4 linked regions of the Xenopus tropicalis genome follow. The protein of the gene in region 2 interacts with the protein of the main gene of each other region in a biochemical or structural test. Links are inferred from orthologs where the notes say so. Each region holds a gene or a part of one and is shown on either strand. Other genes may lie near its edges. The genes, in order: pparg, grip1, carm1 and thra.

Region 1 (5,731 bases), on a different chromosome or scaffold from region 2:
ATACCAGTCAGTATAATACCAGTATAGGTGCCAGTCAGTATAATACCAGTATAGGTGCCAGTCGGTATAATACCAGTATAGGTGCCAGTCGGTATAATACCAGTATAGCTGCCAGTCAGTAAATACCAGTCAGTATAATACCAGTATAGGTGCCAGTCAGTAAATACCAGTCAGTATAATACCAGTATAGGTGCCAGTCAGTATAATACCAGTATAGGTGCCAGTCAGTATAATACCAGTATAGGTGCCAGTCAGTAAATACCAGTCAGTATAATACCAGTGTAGGTGCCAGTCAGTATAATACCAGTATAGGTGCCAGTCAGTAAATACCAGTCAGTATAATACCAGTATAGGTACCAGTCAGTATAATACCAGTATAGGTGCCAGTCAGTATAATACCAGTATAGGTGCCAGTCGGTATAATACCAGTATAGGTGCCAGTCAGTATAATACCAGTATAGGTGCCAGTCGGTATAATACCAGTATAGGTGCCAGTCGGTATAATACCAGTATAGATGCCAGTCGGTATAATACCAGTATAGGTGCCAGCCGGTATAATACCAGTATAGGTGCCAGTCAGTATAATACCAGTATAGGTGCCAGTTGGTATAATACCAGTATAGGTGCCAGTCGGTATAATACCAGTATAGGTGCCAGTCGGTATAATACCAGTATAGGTGCCAGTCGGTATAATACCAGTATAGGTGCCAGTCAGTAAATACCAGTATAGGTGCCAGTCAGTATAATACCAGTATAGGTGCCAGTCGGTATAATACCAGTATAGGTGCCAGTCAGTAAATACCAGTATAGGTGCCAGTCAGTATAATACCAGTATAGGTGCCAGTCGATATAATACCAGTATAGGTGCCAGTCAGTAAATACCAGTCAGTATAATACCAGTATAGGTGCCAGTCAGTAAATACCAGTCAGTATAATACCAGTATAGGTGCCAGTCAGTATAATACCAGTATAGGTGCCAGTCAGTATAATACCAGTATAGGTGCCAGTCGGTATAATACCAGTATAGGTGCCAGTCGGTATACCAGTATAGGTGCCAGTCAGTATAATACCAGTATAGGTGCCAGTCAGTATAATACCAGTATAGGTGCCAGTCGATATAATACCAGTATAGGTGCCAGTCAGTAAATACCAGTCAGTATAATACCAGTATAGGTGCCAGTCAGTAAATACCAGTCAGTATAATACCAGTATAGGTGCCAGTCGGTATAATACCAGTATAGGTGCCAGTCAGTATAATACCAGTATAGGTGCCAGTCGATATAATACCAGTATAGGTGCCAGTCAGTAAATACCAGTCAGTATAATACCAGTATAGGTGCCAGTCAGTAAATACCAGTATAGGTGCCAGTCAGTATAATACCAGTATAGGTGCCAGTCGATATAATACCAGTATAGGTGCCAGTCAGTAAATACCAGTCAGTATAATACCAGTATAGGTGCCAGTCAGTAAATACCAGTCAGTATAATACCAGTATAGGTGCCAGTCGGTATAATACCAGTATAGGTGCCAGTCAGTATAATACCAGTATAGGTGCCAGTCAGTAAATACCAGTCAGTATAATACCAGTATAGGTGTCAGTCAGTAAATACCAGTCAGTATAATACCAGTATAGGTGCCAGTCAGTATAATACCAGTATAGGTGCCAGTCAGTATAATACCAGTATAGGTGCCAGTCGGTATAATACCAGTATAGGTGCCAGTCGGTATACCAGTATAGGTGCCAGTCAGTATAATACCAGTATAGGTGCCAGTCAGTATAATACCAGTATAGGTGCCAGTCGGTATAATACCAGTATAGGTGCCAGTCGGTATAATACCAGTATAGGTGCCAGTCAGTATAATACCAGTATAGGTGCCAGTCGGTATAATACCAGTATAGGTGCCAGTCGGTATAATACCAGTATAGGTGCCAGTCAGTATAATACCAGTATAGGTGCCAGTCGGTATAATACCAGTATAGGTGCCAGTCGGTATAATACCAGTATAGGTGCCAGTCAGTATAATACCAGTATAGGTGCCAGTCAGTATAATACCAGTATAGGTGCCAGTCAGTATAATACCAGTATAGGTGCCAGTCAGTACCAGTCTCACTGTTCCTATTGGATCCCAATAAAGTATCAGCAGGAAGATTCCAGTCGCTCCAATTGAGAATGAGCGAGTGAAGCGCAGTACTAGAAGTGGCCGGTAGGTGGGGCGCCTGAATCACGGTCCCATTCAGTGGGCAATAGACAATAAAGCAGTTCCAATGAGGGGTGTCGGGGCTCAGTAGATGGGGGGCAGCACTATGGGGGATACGGGTGGGAGACTGGGAGTGAGGAGCTGAGGAGCCAGAGGAGATCTGGGCAGGAGAAGAGCAGAGACAGTGGGAGGAGCCAAGGGAGGCAGAGGGGCGTGACCGAGTGAGTGAGAGTAAGAGACAGTGAGAGAAGTGAGACAGAGCGATCTGAGCTCTAAACGAGTAGTAACAGCGGCACCAACTACTCCCTGCAACTAACTACTCCCTGCAACTAACTACTCCCTGCAACACCAACTACTCCCTGCAACACCAACTACTCCCTGCAACACCAACTACTCCCTGCAGAACCAACTACTCCCTGCAGAACCAACTACTCCCTGCAACTAACTACTCCCTGCAGAACCAACTACTCCCTGCAGAACCAACTACTCCCTGCAACTACTCCCTGCAACTACTCCCTGCAACTACTCCCTGCAGAACCGACACAGTGACTGCTTTTTACTCTGGTCCAGAGACTGCACAAACCCCCGGAGACTGCACAAACCCCCGGAGACTGCACAAACCCCCGGAGACTGCTCCCAGGACAGGGCTGGCACTTGGGCACCACTGGCATTGCGGCCCCGCAGGATAATTGTGTCCCTGACTGGATCCGCCTCCCGGCAGAGCTGGCACATGGCAGACTGAGCACCTTGGGATCATAACTACCAGAGGGCACTTTGTGACAGTCCGGGGGAGGAGTCGGGGGATCGGGGAGTCAGGTGAGTCGGGAGACCGCTCTCTCTCTCTGGTTCAGACCTTAAGCCATTGTAGCCTGCAGCGGCTTGGGATGGGGTGCGTTTGTATTGGGGTGCTGCTAGGTCTCAGCCACACTCTATTGTATTTGTATCAATGTTATAACAAGTTTCAGTATTGGGGTATCAGAGTGATACTACTGGGGTGTCAGTGATAGTATTGGGGTGTCATTGTGATACTACTGGGGTATCAGTGTGATACTAATGGGGTGCCAGTGTGATAGTATCAGGGTGTCAGTGTGATAGTATTGGGGTGCCAGTGTGATAGTATTGGGGTGCCAGTGTGATAGTATCAGGGTGTCAGTGTGATAGTATTGGGGTGTCATTGTGATACTATGGGAGTGTGTGATGTAGTTTTGCTGTTGGTGGAATTAGTACTGGGGTGTCAGTGTGACAGTATTGGGGTATCAGGGTGATACAGTTGTGGTACCATAGGATAGTATTGGGGTGTGACATACAGGGGTACTGGTCAATAAGGATGTGGTGCTGTTGGGGCGCTGGCTAATATAGTTGTGTTGGTATTAGGGGATCAGTATTAGGAGGCTAATGGACATGTTGGGGTTCTGATGGATATCTGGGTACAGTATTGGGGTAATGGCTGATATAGCTGTATTGCTGCTGGTAGATCTGGGTGCTGGGGTGCTGCTGGGTGCTGCTGGGTGCAGATAGCATACAGTATAAGGTTGGTCCCGGGGGCGTACAGCGGGGGTACAGATTAATATGGGGTATCAATATGGGGTACTGATTGATACAGAGGTGCAGTTTCGGGGGGTGATATGGGCTGCAGAGTGTTCTACTGAGGGGGCCAGTTCCCCGGTCTATCGATTGCAGGAGCTGCCATTGTGCTGTTGCTCTGTATGATTCCTGGGGGGAATGTGGCACAGCGAGGGCAGGGCAGGGGCAGATACTGGCAAATGACTGGCGGCAGAGTGCCCACTGTGCCCTGTAGCTTTCATACCCACCTCTGAGGGGCAATTGCCAATAATGCACCCAATGTTGTGCAGTTTCTGCCCCCAGGGCCAGACAGAAGGAACAGACTGGTGGAATTAACTGGTTCCTGGAAAGCACTTGCCCTGAAGGTGCCAATACACTTCCCGTGTGGGTGCTGGGAGTTTGTGTGTGGGTGCTGGGAGTTTGTGTGTGGGTGCAGGGAGTTTGTGTGTGGGTGCTGGGAGTTTGTGTGTGGGTGCAGGGAGATTGTGTGTGCAGGGAGATTGTGTGTGGGTGCTGGGAGTTTTTGTGGGTGCTGGGAGTTTGTGTGTGTGTGTGTGGGTGCAGGGAGATTGTGTGTGGGTGCAGGGAGATTGTGTGTGGGTGCAGGGAGATTGTGTGTGGGTGCAGGGAGTTTTGTGTGTGGGTGCAGGGAGTTTGTGTGTGGGTGCTGGGAGTTTGTGTGTGGGTGCAGGGAGTTTGTGTGTGGGTGCAGGGAGATTGTGTGTGGGTGCAGGGAGTTTGTGTGTGGGTGCTGGGAGATTGTGTGTGGGTGCAGGGAGTTTGTGTGTGGGTGCAGGGAGTTTGTGTGTATGGGTGCAGGGAGTTTGTGTGTGGGTGCAGGGAGTTTGTGTGTATGGGTGCAGGGAGTTTGTGTGTGGGTGCAGGGAGTTTGTGTGTGGGTGCAGGGAGTTTGTGTGTATGGGTGCAGGGAGTTTGTGTGTGGGTGCAGGGAGTTTGTGTGTATGGGTGCAGGGAGTTTGTGTGTGGGTGCTGGGATCAATGCAAGTTCATAGCTGTGACTGTTGTGGTCAATAGTGTGAAATGCCCCAAAGCAGTCTCTAGTGGGGGTTGTTTGTTTGTCCTTAGACACCCAGAGCCTCCCTCTCAGTAGGACAAGATGGAGACAGTAGGGCAAGATGGAGACAGTAGGGCAAGATGGGGAAAGTAGGGCAAGATGGGGACAGTAGGGCACGATGGAGACAGTAGGGCAAGATGGGGACAGTAGGACAAGATGGAGACAGTAGGGCAAGATGGGGACAGTAGGGCAAGATGGGGAAAGTAGGGCAAGATGGGGACAGTAGGGCACGATGGAGACAGTAGGGCAAGATGGGGACAGTAGGACAAGATGGAGACAGTAGGGCAAGATGGGGACAGTAGGGCACGATGGAGACAGTAGGACAAGAAGGAGACAGTAGGGCAAGATGGAGACAGTAGGGCAAGATGGAGACAGTAGGGCAAGATGGGGACAGTAGGGCAAGATGGAGACAGTAGGGCAAGATGGAGACAGTAGGGCAAGATAGGGACAGTAGGGCAAGATGGAGACAGTAGGGCAAGATGGGGACAGTAGGGCAAGATGGAGACAGTAGGGCAAGATGGAGACAGTAGGACAAGATGGAGACAGTAGGGCAAGATGGGGACAGTAGGGCACGATGGAGACAGTAGGGCAAGATGGAGACAGTAGGGCAAGAAGGAGACAGTAGGGCAAGATGGAGACAGTAGGGCAAGATGGAGACAGTAGGCCAAGATGGAGACAGTAGGGCAAGATGGAGACAGTAGGGCAAGATGGAGACAGTAGGGCAAGATGGAGACAGTAGGGCAAGATGGAGACAGTAGGGCAAGATGGGGACAGTAGGGCAAGATGGAGACAGTAGGGCAAGATGGGGACAGTAGGACAAGATGGAGACAGTAGGGCAAGATGGAGACAGTAGGGCAAGATGGGGACAGTAGGGCAAGATGGAGACAGTAGGG
Region 2 (3,931 bases):
AGTAAACTTGGAATGGCACTAATATTTAGAGTATTCATCATAAAAACACTTGCTACTCCCATGGAAAGGTTTAACAGTATAGCCACATAGTGCCATCTGTGTCTCAAATGTCACAGTTCAGATGTACAACAGGGTATTAGCACCAGGTTTATGCTACTAGGTCAATAGCTAGATTTTAGTTTTGCTATAAAGTATTTATTGAGTCTCTCATGTCCATTGATGCAAGGCGGCTACTTGTAGACTGGGAGAACGTGTTGTGATCAGTCCATTCTTGCACTGACAAATTCTGTCCATCCAAAGGATCCTTCTGAGAGGCTACTGGGTTCCTGCTAATAACCAGCTCTAGTTTGTTGCCAGATTCTGCTATTAGAGGGACAACAAGGCAGCAATCAAAGTCTCTGGTACGGACATGATTCACCTACAGAAATACAAAGTGAGAAGAATGGTTTGCAGTGAGTTGCTAGCATGCATCATTCTTCCTGTAATATAAAAGGGTGGTTCACCTTTAAGTTAACTATGTTATAGAATGTCCTATTTGTAGCAGCTTTTAAGCTTGTCTACATGTTTTATAGGTTTGTTTGTTTTTTTTTATTTACCTCTTCTGACTCTTTTCAGTTTTCAAATGGGGGGCACTGACCCTTCAGCCAAACAAAACTATTGCTCTGTGAGGCTACAATTTTATTATTACTTTTAATTCTATTCAGGCCTCTCCTATTTATACTCCAGTCTCTCATTCAAACCACTGCCTAGTCCCTAGTTTAATGTGGACCCTAGAAAAGCATTTTTTATTTATTTTTATTTAATTTGTGTTTGTTGAATTATTATTTTCTTAGAATATTGCTCTCTACATCATACTAAATTTTAAATTAAAGGTGAACAACTCCATTAATGTACAAAATACCACTTCTTAAAAATCACTGTCTTCCACCATTCCTATGTCCCTAGAATTCTATCCCACCTACTTCAATGCTTGATATTTGGATTGGATTTTCTTGTACTAATGTGAGAGAGTCTGTGTAGTATATGGAAATTTTAGCTCAAAACTGTATGAAGTTATGTAAACGCCCCTTCATTTCTTTTTAAAGGAGAAGGAAAGGCTAAACCATTGGGGGGTTCCAAACGTTGGGCACCCCCAGTGATTGTAATCACTTACCTTATACCCCGGCCCGGGTTGGTGCCCCTGTTAGGAGAAACCACACCAGCCCAGGGGTAGCTGCAAGCGAGTGTTTCCTCTTCCTTCTGAATCTCGGGGCTGGCACATGTGCAGTAGAGTGTAGAAGATGGCTTTTTTTTGTTAATATTCACCTTTTCACTCTACTGTGCAAGTGCGCAAAGACAGAAGAAGGAAGAGGAGACACTCACTCACAGGTACCCCAGGCTGGTGCTGGTTTCTTCTCACAGGGGCACCAGCCCAGGGTAAAAGGTAAGTTATTAAATTCACTGGGGGGTGCCTAAAATTTTGGCACCCCCCAGTGACTTTGCCTTTCCTTCTCCTTTGAGGGCTCTTACACACAGGCCTTGTGTTTATGTGTTTGACACATAGGTTTGAGCGCACCTAAGTGATTCCATTATATTTTGCCTGGTTGCACTCCTGAGGGTTCAGAGTTGCATTTTATGGCTTTCATTGTGTGTGATTTTTTTTTAGATGACACATGCTGCATGTGTAGGAGCCCTTAAAGAGCATTGGGTCCAATGAAGAATATGTATCCAAGTCATTGTGCCAGCTAATTAGTAGTACCAGAGAGAAACGTATCCGTACATATGGCTCACCTGCAAGAGACGATCATATGGCTTTAGCCCCGCAATATCCCCTGGCCCATTAGGACGTATATTTTTCACATAGACTCCTTTCTCCAGTAAGCCATCGGCAACACTAAAACCAAAGTCTTCCCTATCCGAATCCTTAAATAAAGAGACCTGCAATAAATACAGATTAGGTTTGTAACTAAAGAGTGTGCATTACAGTTGTGTAAATAAATGTACATGATATGATGCCTCTAATATAAGGGGAGGGGGTAATTATTAATTAATGAAACCCAACAGCACTATTCTTACAACTATCTGGTTACTTTTCCTTTCTTATATATATATATATATACCCAGTGGGCACCTTGGGGAATAGGTGACTCTAGAAAAACATTGTCCCTTTAACAATTCTGGGCTCTGCTTTACAAGTCTCTCTGTTTAGTTTCTGTATCTGCATGATTCTCCTTCTCTTGGCTTAAACAAACTAACTGAAGTTATGTCCCATGTGCCCCCCCCCTTAAGTCACTGATTGATACTGACTGCTAACAGCAGTAAAGGAGGAAGTAGTGTTCTGGCCATTATGTTAGACACCTGCTCACTCCAGCCTTTATAGATTACAGTTTTGCCTAACTAACTCTATTGAAAACAATTTTAATTTGGCGCAGTCTATCTATTTTACTCAGTTTCATTTTTACACTGAACTATTCATTTAACCCATCTCTGCTGCCAGAAACTAAAATGCGCTGGCTACATACATTCTATTTCTACTTATTTCTAGGATTTTGCCCTCTCTTTCTGCTTTCCTATACCTTTGCCTCCAGGATCTAGCTCTCCATGCATTTTACATCCCTACTTCCAGGGTGCAGCTCTCTGGTTACCCCAATCGTTACCCCCAACCCCAGGATCTAGGTCTTTCAGCTCACTCCATCTTTGCCCACAGGATCTAGAACTTTCTTTACCAGCAGGGTCTAGCTCTCTTGGGCCATAATTTTAACTACATAAATTAGTGTTTTTGCTTTTGTTATAATTGTTGTTTTGTTATATTGTTAAGTTGTTTCCTTTTACAGATTTTGCAGCTACAGGACTGCTCAACTGCACGACACAAAAAACACAAATACAAAACATAATTATTTAATTTGTGGTTTTAGAGGTTTCAATGTTCATTTCCGTTTGGTCCACCACGTTTCATGGAAAAACATAAAAACCACAACAAATTTGTTGTTTTTGTGTTCTTTTCATTCTGCATTTTAATTCAATCATGCTCTTTCAATTTGGATATGACTAGACATTCAAAAACCTCTAAAACCAAAATCAGAATGTTAATAAAATCTTCCCCATTAGGTTGGTCTAACTCAGTGATGCTAAACAAGTGGCTTGTGCAGGTGCTCATTTTTGAATTCTGGGCTTGGAGACATATTTTGGAGGCATAAAGACACAAGTACACTGCCAAAATCAGGCCCCAGTAGCCTAGCAGTTTATATGTGACTACTAAATAGCCAATCACTGCCCCTAGAAAATGTTTTTTTGCTTGTGTGACTCTCCAACACTTTTTACATTTGAATGTGACTCGCTGGTCCAACTAATCACAATAAGTGATATATAGATGATTTGTTTTTAGCAAAAGATAGAGAGTTTTGGATTTCATTGTTTGCTACGTTGCTGCTATTTCCACAATTTCCAATGACTTGATGGGTACAAACTTGGGCTGAAATAGCAAAGATTAATTGTGTGTGCTTGTTGCAATTTGCAGCCATTGGCATACATGTACATCACTTGTATTTGTGAGTAAATCAAATCTGTAGGGGAAACCAATAGTGTGTTTTACCAGGGCACCACCACATGTTAAAATATTTCAGTTTGAGAATGGCTTCCCAGGTCATTTGTTAGGTTCTTATATCATACAACAATTGTAAGTTTGATCGTAAGTACAATTGTAAATGTAAATTGGGCCATCGTCTGTTTTGAGCTCTAAATAATTATGAAAATGTCCTTTCAGCCAATCCTGGCAATTCAATTGTATGAGGTTATTGGCCTTCTTGGGTCTCGATGGCAATCTGGTTTTTGACCAATACTAAAAAAACAGGTAAATGCATAAAAGGCACACGTGTGGCCAAACTGGACATCGCCCTACTTGGTTAGATATCAGTTCATGCTGCAAACTGTGTGCATGTGGCCAAGTGGCACA
Region 3 (5,240 bases), about 81 Mb from region 2:
CTTCTCCCCACCCTCTCACAGGACACCTTCGATATCCGGATCCTCATGGCCAAATCAGTCAAGTACACAGTGAATTTCCTTGATGCCAAAGAGGCCGATCTGCACAGGTAGGGGGCGGAGCTGGCAGGGTGCTTGCCATTGATTGGCTGATACAAGTGCTGACCAACTTCTCTTCCCTGCGCAGGATAGAGATCCCTTTCTCCTTCCACATGCTGCACTCCGGCTTGGTGCACGGTTTAGCTTTCTGGTTTGACGTGGCCTTTATCGGATCCATGTGAGTGTCAGGGGGTCCTGTTGAGGGAGCCCCCCCCCCCCCCCATAATCCCACAGTGCAAGGGTCCGGGCTTTGCCTGCCCGACGTCACATCTTCTCCCTTTTTCATCTCATAGAATGACCGTCTGGCTGTCGACAGCCCCGACCGAGCCTCTCACTCACTGGTACCAGGTCCGCTGTCTCTTACAGTCGCCGTTATTCACCAAAGCCGGGGACACCTTGACCGGCACCGCGCTGCTCATTGCCAACAAGAGGTAGGAGCGAGCTGCTCTCCTGATTGGTTCTCCTGCACTTTCAGCTTTACCTTCCCCTCACCATTGTGTCTCTTGCAGGCAGAGTTATGATATCAGTATTGTTGCTCAGGTGGATCAGACTGGGTCCAAGTCAAGTAACCTGCTGGATCTGAAGAACCCCTTCTTCAGGTAGGTGCCCTTCTCCCTTCCTGGCACAGCTCAGGCTGGACCTACTCTACATCGCCCCCCACAGCCCACACGGGGTATGTCTCTTTCAGGTACACGGGCTCCACGCCGTCTCCTCCCCCCGGCTCCCACTATTCCTCCCCTTCAGAGAACATGTGGAATACGTCAGGGGCATACTCAATGAACACAGGAATGGGCATGGGAGGTAAGTGGGGTGCAGCTTCTGCTCTTCTGGGGTGCACCCCGGGGTATGAGAATGAGGTGGCCAATCAGCCTGCTCTTCTGCGGATTGTGACCGACAGATCTTCCCATTAGTGGTTGGGATATTGGGGATTTCACAGAGATGACTTATGATGGGACAGAAACCCATAGCAACCAATCAGAAATTTTCTCTAATTGGGGATTTGCAGTATTGTTACCAATTCGGCTGGTAAGACAAGGCCACACTCCTGCCATAGTGTCGGCCAATCGGTCGTATCCGTTCCATTCCACCATCCATGAGTGGCACCTTTGAGTGGGATCCTTTGGAAATCTGGCTATGTAAAAATCTAAATTCTTATTGGTTGCTATGGGTTTCCACTTATATATAGACCTGTATTGTGAATTTCTCCTGTGTGTTAACCCCTCGGTCACTCTTGAGCCAAATGAGCTCTGGGTGAAACATTAGATGAAGAGTAAAGCTGGGCGTAGGTGGGATGACTTGGCAGCTGAAGGGTCCCTGTATAGGGCTAAAACAAAGGCCCCCCTGAGTGCTATGTGAATAGGCCTCGGTCTGCTATTGGGTGGAATGACTGGAATAAACCATTAGATGAGGGGGCCCTATCACGCTTTTAATGTAGTTAGGGACCCATGGATCTACGTGGTAGTTTGGCCCGGGGGGGGTGGGGGTGGAAGCGGGGTTTAATGAAATCATGAATGGACTTATTCCTCATTACAATGTGCTTGTGCTTGCCTCCCTGCAGGAATGCCCAACGCCTATGATCTCAGCAGTGTTATAGCTGGAAGCTCAGGCATCAGCCACAGTAACCTCATCCCTCTAGGTGAGCAGCCTGCAGTGTCCTGCCCTCCCGCGCCGCTGCACCCGGAGCCCCAAGACCTGACACTCGGATCCTCCAGTAATACCATAAGCTCGTGTTTCCTTCAAAACCAAACCCACTGGGTTTGCTAACCAATCACACCTTTTGCCAGGGATTCACTAACCAACCTCCTTAACTGTCATGTATGTAAAGTGCAAGCTTTGTGCCAAGGGGGTAGCGTGTGTGTCTGGGACACGGGCTCTGTGCCACTGCCCTGTGTATCACGGGCTTTTAGCTCTAACTCACTCAGTGGCACTTACCCTTTAATCCATTCCATTCTTCATACCATTCCTTTTTTTATTATTTCACCCCTAAAGGGATTTCTCGCGCCAAGTCCCGTTTGGGGAATGCTTCGCCATTTATTGTATTATTATTGGCTTAGGCTGCGGCCACACTGGTTGTAACGCCTGCTGGCACAGTCGCCTCAGTCCTTTGGCTGAATTGGCCAATTACCATCAAGCGCTTTCAGTAAAAGCCAGTGGCAGCTTAGGTTGTCCTTTAATTCTCTATAGGAGCACAGATAAAGGGAAATCCCAGTTGCTCTCGTGAGCCAGACTGCCCTCTAGGAAGACTCCAGTAGGGCTCCCCCCGCAGGGCATGCTGGGAATGGGGGGGGCCAGTGCTTGTACTAATTCAGCTTCAAACCTCATATTTCCGTTTCTTTCCATGAATCTATTCCGTATATTGTGTGTGGCTGAACCCTCCTGTGTTCCCTTCCAGCAAACACGGGGATTGTCAATCACACTCACTCCAGGATGGGATCCATCATGAGCACGGGGATAGTGCAAGGTGAGCCGGCCCTCTGACTGTATGGGGGGGGTATATAATACAGCGAGTGGTATTTATGGGCTTCTCTTTATTCTATTGTAGGATCCGCGGGGGGCCAGGCCGCCTCCAACACCACCAGCCACTACCCTGTCAACAACCAGTTCACCATGGGAGGCCCCGCTATCTCCATGGCTTCTCCCATGTCTATCACCACCAACACAATGCATTATGGGAGTTAAAGCTTGCTCAGTCTCACCTTCCTCCCTGCTCCCTTGTCCTCCTCAAACTGACAGCATCAGGATACCAAATGATCGCAGAGCAACCTCTCTGCCCTTCCTTCCCCTCCTCCCCCTCGGCCAAAACTGCCGACACCTTTGCCCCCCCCCCTCACCTCCACACCTGCCCCCTCCTCTTCTGCCTGAGCAAATCCTCTTGCTTTCTCAATATGGACTTGTACATTTTTTAATGAAATATAGTACCCCACCCCCTCACTTTATGGAAAAAAAAAGGAACAAAAATAGCAAATTGAGGGGGCGGGGTTTAATCTTGACGCTTGTACGTTACGGAGAAATTTAAACCAATCATGTGTTGCTTCTCAAACTGCCGCGCCTAGCACGTGGGGCCTCCTCCCTCTGTGCCGCCTTAGAGCCATTGCTGTGAATTAGTATCATGGTTGCCTATTGGGAAAAGACAGGCTTGAAGGTTGTTGTTGTGGGGGGGGGGGGGGGGGGGTTATAGGGCAAGGAGAGGGAGCCGGCCCTTTAAGCAGTGGGCACCATTGCAGGAATAGGGTGATCCCGACTCTCCGGTTGTTTCACCGGTTCCGACTCATGACCAACGCTTCTTTATATATTTTCTTCTTTTTGGAAGGCGACAGAATGAATTGCTGCAATGAAGTCGTTAGAATTAGCTGGAAGCCAACCCTGCGCTACTTTCATTGTGTCACGAAACACTAACTATTCTGGGGTAGATGAAATAAGCCGTTGGTCCAACCCCCCCTGCCCGCCCCGGGGTAACAGAGACTCTCTCTGCCCCGTACGGGAGCGACAGTCATGTGGTCGGTGTTGTACGAAGGGTTAGGATGATTGTTTATTAAAGCCAAAACCCCTATTGAAATGTGAATTTGCTTTATCCCCCCCCCCCCCCGTCCCTCTACTTGGACTGTGTCCGACTTTCCGTGCAACAGGTTCCGTTATTTTGGCCTTTTCCTTCTTCCTACCTCTGCCCTCGCCGCGACGTTGTTAGCGCATGGTCGGAATGCATCGAGATGGCCCAAGTGTCCGTCCTTTTTAGCGTTTTTCTTTCTTCTATAAAAATTGCTTGTCGCCCCCCCCCCTCCCTCCTGCTTAGACCCCCATAGTATAGCCTTGTGCCTGTAAACTAGCCTTGTCCCCCTGAAGCCCCGCCCCCTGCTGCTTAGTGTCTACTCATTTGCTACTTTTTAGTATTTTATTTCTCTTTTTTCCAGGGAATTTGTCGTCTCGCAGGATCCCTCGTTATTTGTACTCTGTCCGTTTATTATTATTTGTGTCTCGTCTGTCCCGCGTGGGGCGGCAGATTGTAGTTGTAAGATGGGTTTTCAGAGTTGGTTGGTTGGTGGGGGTGGGGGGGGGGCTGGGACGTCTCAGGACGAATAGGAAACCGTTTCTAACACAACTGCTGTTCTCCCCTTTGCCTGTAGTGTTCAATAAAGTTGGGAGGGATTTTTTTTGGAAAAAAGTCTGATTTTGTTTCTCTGTCGTCGGGTAAAATTGCGCTTGTCATAAAGGGGAAATTACTATGTTATAGATGACCTATCCCAAGCAGCTTAATTGATCGTCATCTGTGATTGTTAATGGTCCTGGCAGACGACTGAAAATACTTGTTCTTGGGGGTCTCAGACCCCCCCCCTCCCTGGTAAAGCAGTAAGGATCTTAGCCATGTTATCGCCTACTGTAACAGAGGCTTTATCTACCTCTGAGCTCCTCCAATCAGATTGGCTCTGTGTGAGAACATCAACCATTAGCCTGAAATGAGCAGACATCAGCAAGTTAGTGGCCATGCTTTTGCTGCATAGGTCAGTTTTTGACCAGGGCAGCTCTCTAACTCCATCAGGGCCAGCCTCGACGGTACGCAATTCAGAAATGTTCCTGGAAGAACCCACTGTGAGCCGCACCCCCAGGAAACTGAGCCGGAGGGGCTGAGATACCCAATCCCCATGGCCCTACCCAATCCCATGGTATATTTTTATACCAGTCTCTCTACACTAGGCAGCTGGAGGCTTTTCCCAATCAATTACACAGAGGTTAAGACCTAAGGCATAAAAATATCCCATGGGATTGGGTAGGGCCAAACACACTTTATTTACAGGGGTCAATTTCTTCTATGACAGAATTATGAAAGACATTAAAGGAGAAGTAAAAACTCAGTGAGCTTTATCACAAAGGTCTATGTAAATACAGCCATAAGCACTCGCAGAAATGCTAGAAAATCCTCTGTCAAAATATTTGTTGTGTCTAATTCCCGTGCCAGAGACAAGCAGCTCTCTCCTGCTCCCCCCTCCCTCAAGAATGCTTAGAACTCACTCCCCCCGTAGGAATGTGGATCTGAGCCAATCAGCAGGAAGCTTCCTCATAGTCTTACTGAGCATGTTCACTTGGTCCCGGTGTCTGTGCAGGAGTGAGGCATTATGGGAACTTACTTTACACAGCTCAGCGTTTTTTCT
Region 4 (5,240 bases), on a different chromosome or scaffold from region 2:
GCAAGCTTCCATATCTCCGTTATCCTGATGTACCACAATGAAAGGTTCCTTTAGCTGTAGCAGGCTTTTCCTATATTGTCTTCTTAGGATATAATGGCCAACCAAGGCAGGGAGGAACAGAAGGGATAAATGCACTTTCCTCTCTACCAACATGCACTGTCCCTCAGACTTCCTGGTCCTCAAAGACCTCAAGGAAGAGCGGTGGAAAGAGCTCAGTGGGGCACTCAACCTTCATGTGCAGAAAGCGGCTGGCATGGCATGCCCCTATCATGCGCAGGTCCGTCACCTTCATTAGGAGCTTGGGCCAGAAGTGGGGAATGTTGTGTTTGCGATGGTTGATGTAGTGTTCAAAGGCGAGAAGGTAGGTCTCTTGACATTTCTCTATCTTGTCCGTGCACATTAAACCAGTACGGTCTGGAAAGTTAAATTTAAAAAAAGTAAAGAGTTGCTAACTAAAATGCAATCAATACAGCCCTGCAACATTCATTAATACCTGTTTTATTTAGAGTGAAACAGTATAAGTTAGATGCTACTTGAAAACATGAAATATTTACCTCTAAAAATACAATGTCGCACTCCTAAAATTACCTGATGACATGAGCAAAACAGCCTGCAGCAGCGCCACTTCCGTGTCGTCAAGGTTGAATGCAGCAAGCGATCTTCCAAGGTCAAAGATGGCATCCGAGACAACACCCAGACCTCCGTTCTTAAGCTGCTCCCTTTTTACCGCCATCTCACCGCTTAGCGTTAGGGTCTCGCTGTCCGGATCGTAGCGCACAGCAGCACGGAGAGACATGATCTCCATACAGCATCCTTTCAACAGGATGATCTGATCTTCACAAGGCAGCTGGTGGGACAGGGGACATATTTTTGAATGTAGAAGAAAGGCACTGATTATAAGGAGCAGGAGGAACCATGATGCAGGGGGAAGGGACCTTTCTAATAACAAGGAGAAAAGGGGAATTTAGCACAGAAATGCATGAAGGTTCCTGAGTGCGCCAAGTAATTGTAAAGGCAGGGCCCACTGGGGAAAACCAAGTGGGCCCTGCCAGTCCAGACCTGTTCCCCAACTGCTGTCCCCCACCGGTTGGGTGAGCAGTGAGTCAGGGGGGGAATAAAATTATACATTATATGTATCTGTGGCAAAGGGGAGACCAACTGGTTGGGTAGAGGTATGAGATCTATTATTCGGAATGCATTGGACCTGGTGTTCTTCAGATTACTGGTCCTTCTTTTACAATGGCATGCCATGTCATACTAACATTTAGAAAACAGGACCAGTTATTAGTTATTAAGTACAATGTAGAAAAGGCAAATGAGTCAAAATGCATTGTTAGTGTAAAGGAAAACTATACTCACAAACAATGTTTGTCTCTATAAATATATATTGCATAAAGTAGCTCTAAATAAACCATTTTCATGAAAATATACTTTTTAGTAGTATGTGATCTCTGAGTGAGTATACAGACCAGCACAAAATGGCAGCTCAAGGGAAAGGATGTAAAAGGGCAATATTTACTGATATATAGTCTAGTTTGGTAGATTCTTTAATGGGCCACACTATCTGTTGGCTAAGTATTCATTCTGAGGGTATAGTCCTTAAAAAGGATCCTGTGGGCAAAGGGAATGCTGAAATCAGGGCCTTTCGGGTTTTTGGATAATAGATCCTATACTGTATGAAGAAAATTGAAAAAGTGAGAGGTATATTGGGTAGGTGTGTGTAGGACATGGAGGCTTTGTTACAGAAATTCAGTGTGTGTATAGTGTGTGGGAATATGTACCTATGTGAATGGCGAGGTCATTCCTTGTAAGGGTAAATGCATGGAACATTTAATGAAAGGGCAGTTGAGGAAGAACACATAATAGATGGCTATCTGGGGCGGAACATTTAATGAAAAGCTGGGTAAGGTGGAACATTCACTGGAGGGCTGAGTGGGGAGGGAGGGCCATTCAGTGAGGGGGGTAGAGTGGTTGGGGAAGAACATTTAGTGGAAGGATAAACTGGAAAGAAATGTCACTGGTGGGGTGGAAAGAGGGTGGGTGAGGAGAAACATGCAGGGGGGGGGGGGGTCGGTAAGGAAGATTCAGTACAAAGGGGGGTAGGCATTTCATGCTTGAAGAAAAAGAGAAAATGAAAAGGTCAAACATGATCAGTGAGGTATAAAAAAGGAAATGCCATCAATAAAGCCATATTCAAACTGTATATGTGGGAAGCGGGACATATACAATCCGTATTCTGAACATTTAGGTACAGGTACTTATATATTATGTGATGTATACGGTCACTTGCTCTTCTGTGTCGCACACTCACCTCAGAGAACATGGGCAGCTTCTTAGCAAAGTCCACCACTCTCGTAATTGCTGGGGTTATTATTTTGGTGAACTCACTGAAAGCCTCCAAGTCAACTTTATCCCCATCTGGCATGGAAGCCATGGGAGACTGCCCGATATCTTCCGGCTGTAACATGGAGAAGGCACAGAGAGAGAGAGAGAGGTGGTGAAGGCAACTACTCAAGAAGTAGTGGAGACTGGGTGAGACAGTACAGAGGGAGAGACAGAGAGCATGGAAGCCAATTATAAGATAGCAAAGGAGAAAGAAAGAATGAATATGAGTGAACACAGAACTTTAAACAAATCAATCTATCTATCATCTATCTATCTATCTATCTATCATCTATCTGTCTATCTATCTTCTATCTCTGTCTGTCTATCTGCCTATCTTTAGACGTATGCAGAACTTTAAACGTTCCAGTAGAGGGTGTTGGTAATCCACATATGATATAATGGGTGGCGGTGGAATAGAAAGCGTGTCTAATCCACGTGACAGGGGGAGGAGAGGGAGACACAGGGGGAGGTAACTTAGGAAGGGAGGGGAGAGTAGAGAGGCGGTTGCTCCCAGTTGCTTCTAACCCTCTCTGGCAAAGCACACATGGCTGCGTCACCCAGAGCCCCGCTTGCAATACTGTGGCCACATAAGTGGGAGGATAAAGGGTTAAAAGCCCCCAGAAAGAAAATGAGTGCCCCGGGTACAGGGTGCCAAATATCAGCAGGACAGGGTGCATACGAAATACACAAAAATGTACCAAAATACAGAACTATAATGGTAGATGCCTGGCAATGAGCGACATGTTGCACCCATAGAAAGTTACCAACATGCACTGCTTCCAACAGGAGGCTAACGGGACTAATGCACCATGTGATGGGAATGCAATGCAGACATAGCCTGAAATATAGATCCATATCCATAGAGACAGCCCTGCATCAGCATAGAATGCTTAGCACATAGATACCAGTAATGTATGAAGAGCCGGGGACCAGAATGCACTGGGGCTGGACATATACAAACGCCTTTATCTTCGCATTTACCGAGGCACACAAACTAGCAAAGATGTCAGATTGTATTTTTATATTAATTTATTTTCCAGGTTATTTCTCCAGCTATTTACAGCGCACAGCGGACAAGGGGCTCGCTAATTGGCGGAGATCAAGGACAAAAAAAGACGAGGGTGCTAGTGGCAAAATAATGTAGAGCGGCACAGAGGTAATTATATCATGGTAGCCATTTATGTAGTACTGTCAGAACCACTGAGGCATTGGGAGGGAATGCATTGCTGCTGATATATGCAGGGAATAGGGAAGGGTAATTAGGAGAATGTACTGAGAGGCGCCATTAACAGCACATAGAGCTAAGTGGGAAAGTGCAGGCTGCACTGCTACATAGAGAGGCACCTGTACCTGAACCATCATAGGCACCAGGGGGGCAGCACATGCTGGGGGACATACAGAACAGGCAGGGCTATACACAGGCACAGGTAACAGAAGGCAGGGCTATACACAGGCACAGGTAACAGAAGGCAGGGCTATACACAGGCACAGGTAACAGAAATCAGGGCTATACACAGGCACAGGTAACAGAAATCAGGGCTATACACAGGCACAGGTAACAGAAGGCAGGGCTATACACAGGCACAGGTAACAGAAGGCAGGGCTATACACAGGCACAGGTAACAGAAATCAGGGCTATACACAGGCACAGGTAACAGAAGGCAGGGCTATACACAGGCACAGGTAACAGAAGGCAGGGCTATACACAGGCACAGGTAACAGAAATCAGGGCTATACACAGGCACAGGTAACAGAAGGCAGGGCTATACACAGGCACAGGTAACAGAAGGCAGGGCTATACACAGGCACAGGTAACAGAAGGCAGGGCTATACACAGGCACAGGTAACAGAAGGCAGGGCTATACACAGGCGCAGGTTATAGAAGGCAGGGCTATACACAGGCACAGGTAACAGAAGGCAGGGCTATACACAGGCGCAGGTAACAGAAGGCAGGGCTATACACAGGCACAGGTTATAGAAGGCAGGGCTATACACAGGCACAGGTTATAGAAGGCAGGGCTATACACAGGCACAGGTTATAGAAAGCAGGGCTATACACAGGCACAGGTAACAGAAGGCAGGGCTATACACAGGCGCAGGTAACAGAAGGCAGGGCTATACACAGGCACAGGTAACAGAAGGCAGGGCTATACACAGGCGCAGGTTATAGAAGGCAGGGCTATACACAGGGAGGGAGATGGGTACCAGATTGTGCTAATATGTACCAAGGAATAGGAACCGCTAAGAACTGAGGGATGAGTAACAAAACGGACTGCTAAGTGCCAAGGAATAGGTTTTATAAATGTACTTCTAAGCACTAAAGCATGGGTACCCGACTGCTAAGTATCAAAATGGAATAATAAGCACTGAGGCTTGGCTACCAGGGCAGGCTGCTATAAACTGAGGAATAGGTACCAGTAATCTACTGCTAAGCACTGAGGGAGGGCCACCCTAATGGAATGCTAAGTGCCAAGGAATGAGCATTAGAAATGTACTACTAAACACTAAAGCTTGGGTGCTACACCGCTAAGTACCAAAACAGACTACTAAACACCAGGGCATGGGTGTACTGATTTACTGATGAGCACTGAAGCATGGGTACCCCAAAAGGCATTGGTACCAAAAATGTACTGAAGAACACATAGGCCAACAGACTTCTAAGCACCCATACCAAAACCGTATGGCTAAGTGCCGAAGCTGGGGACCCAAACTGACTGCTGAACACTGAGGCATGAGTGAACACAGAGACACTATAAAGGAATCAGACATATATTGGAGCAGAATAGAAGGAAATCACTCAGGGCAGGCATGATTATGCACTGCTGTACAGAAAGAAAAATAAGAGGAGGCACTGT

The links.
Region 1: the proteins of grip1 (region 2) and pparg form a complex in vitro, tested with the Homo sapiens proteins (2 studies listed by BioGRID). The link is inferred for Xenopus tropicalis from reciprocal best matches to the Homo sapiens genes GRIP1 and PPARG.
Region 3: the proteins of grip1 (region 2) and carm1 form a complex in vitro, tested with the Homo sapiens proteins (2 studies listed by BioGRID). The link is inferred for Xenopus tropicalis from reciprocal best matches to the Homo sapiens genes GRIP1 and CARM1.
Region 4: the proteins of grip1 (region 2) and thra form a complex in vitro, tested with the Homo sapiens proteins (2 studies listed by BioGRID). The link is inferred for Xenopus tropicalis from reciprocal best matches to the Homo sapiens genes GRIP1 and THRA.

The regions. Positions count from the first base shown.
Region 1 is NC_030680.2:153,298,837-153,304,567, forward strand, and holds the start of pparg (peroxisome proliferator-activated receptor gamma), read left to right. Parts: upstream 1-2,450; 5' UTR 2,451-3,016; intron 3,017-5,731. UniProt on the Homo sapiens protein: Nuclear receptor that binds peroxisome proliferators such as hypolipidemic drugs and fatty acids.
Region 2 is NC_030679.2:58,084,466-58,088,396, forward strand, and holds part of grip1 (glutamate receptor-interacting protein 1), read right to left. Parts: intron 1,918-3,931; coding exon 1,771-1,917; intron 419-1,770; coding exon 185-418; 3' UTR 1-184. UniProt on the Homo sapiens protein: May play a role as a localized scaffold for the assembly of a multiprotein signaling complex and as mediator of the trafficking of its binding partners at specific subcellular location in neurons.
Region 3 is NC_030679.2:138,870,306-138,875,545, forward strand, and holds the end of carm1 (histone-arginine methyltransferase CARM1), read left to right. Parts: intron 1-21; coding exon 22-107; intron 108-184; coding exon 185-274; intron 275-389; coding exon 390-527; intron 528-605; coding exon 606-695; intron 696-784; coding exon 785-897; intron 898-1,654; coding exon 1,655-1,807; intron 1,808-2,488; coding exon 2,489-2,557; intron 2,558-2,638; coding exon 2,639-2,775; 3' UTR 2,776-4,243; downstream 4,244-5,240. UniProt on the Homo sapiens protein: Methylates (mono- and asymmetric dimethylation) the guanidino nitrogens of arginyl residues in several proteins involved in DNA packaging, transcription regulation, pre-mRNA splicing, and mRNA stability.
Region 4 is NC_030686.2:9,067,856-9,073,095, forward strand, and holds part of thra (thyroid hormone receptor alpha), read right to left. Parts: intron 2,459-5,240; coding exon 2,312-2,458; intron 848-2,311; coding exon 589-847; intron 415-588; coding exon 164-414; 3' UTR 1-163.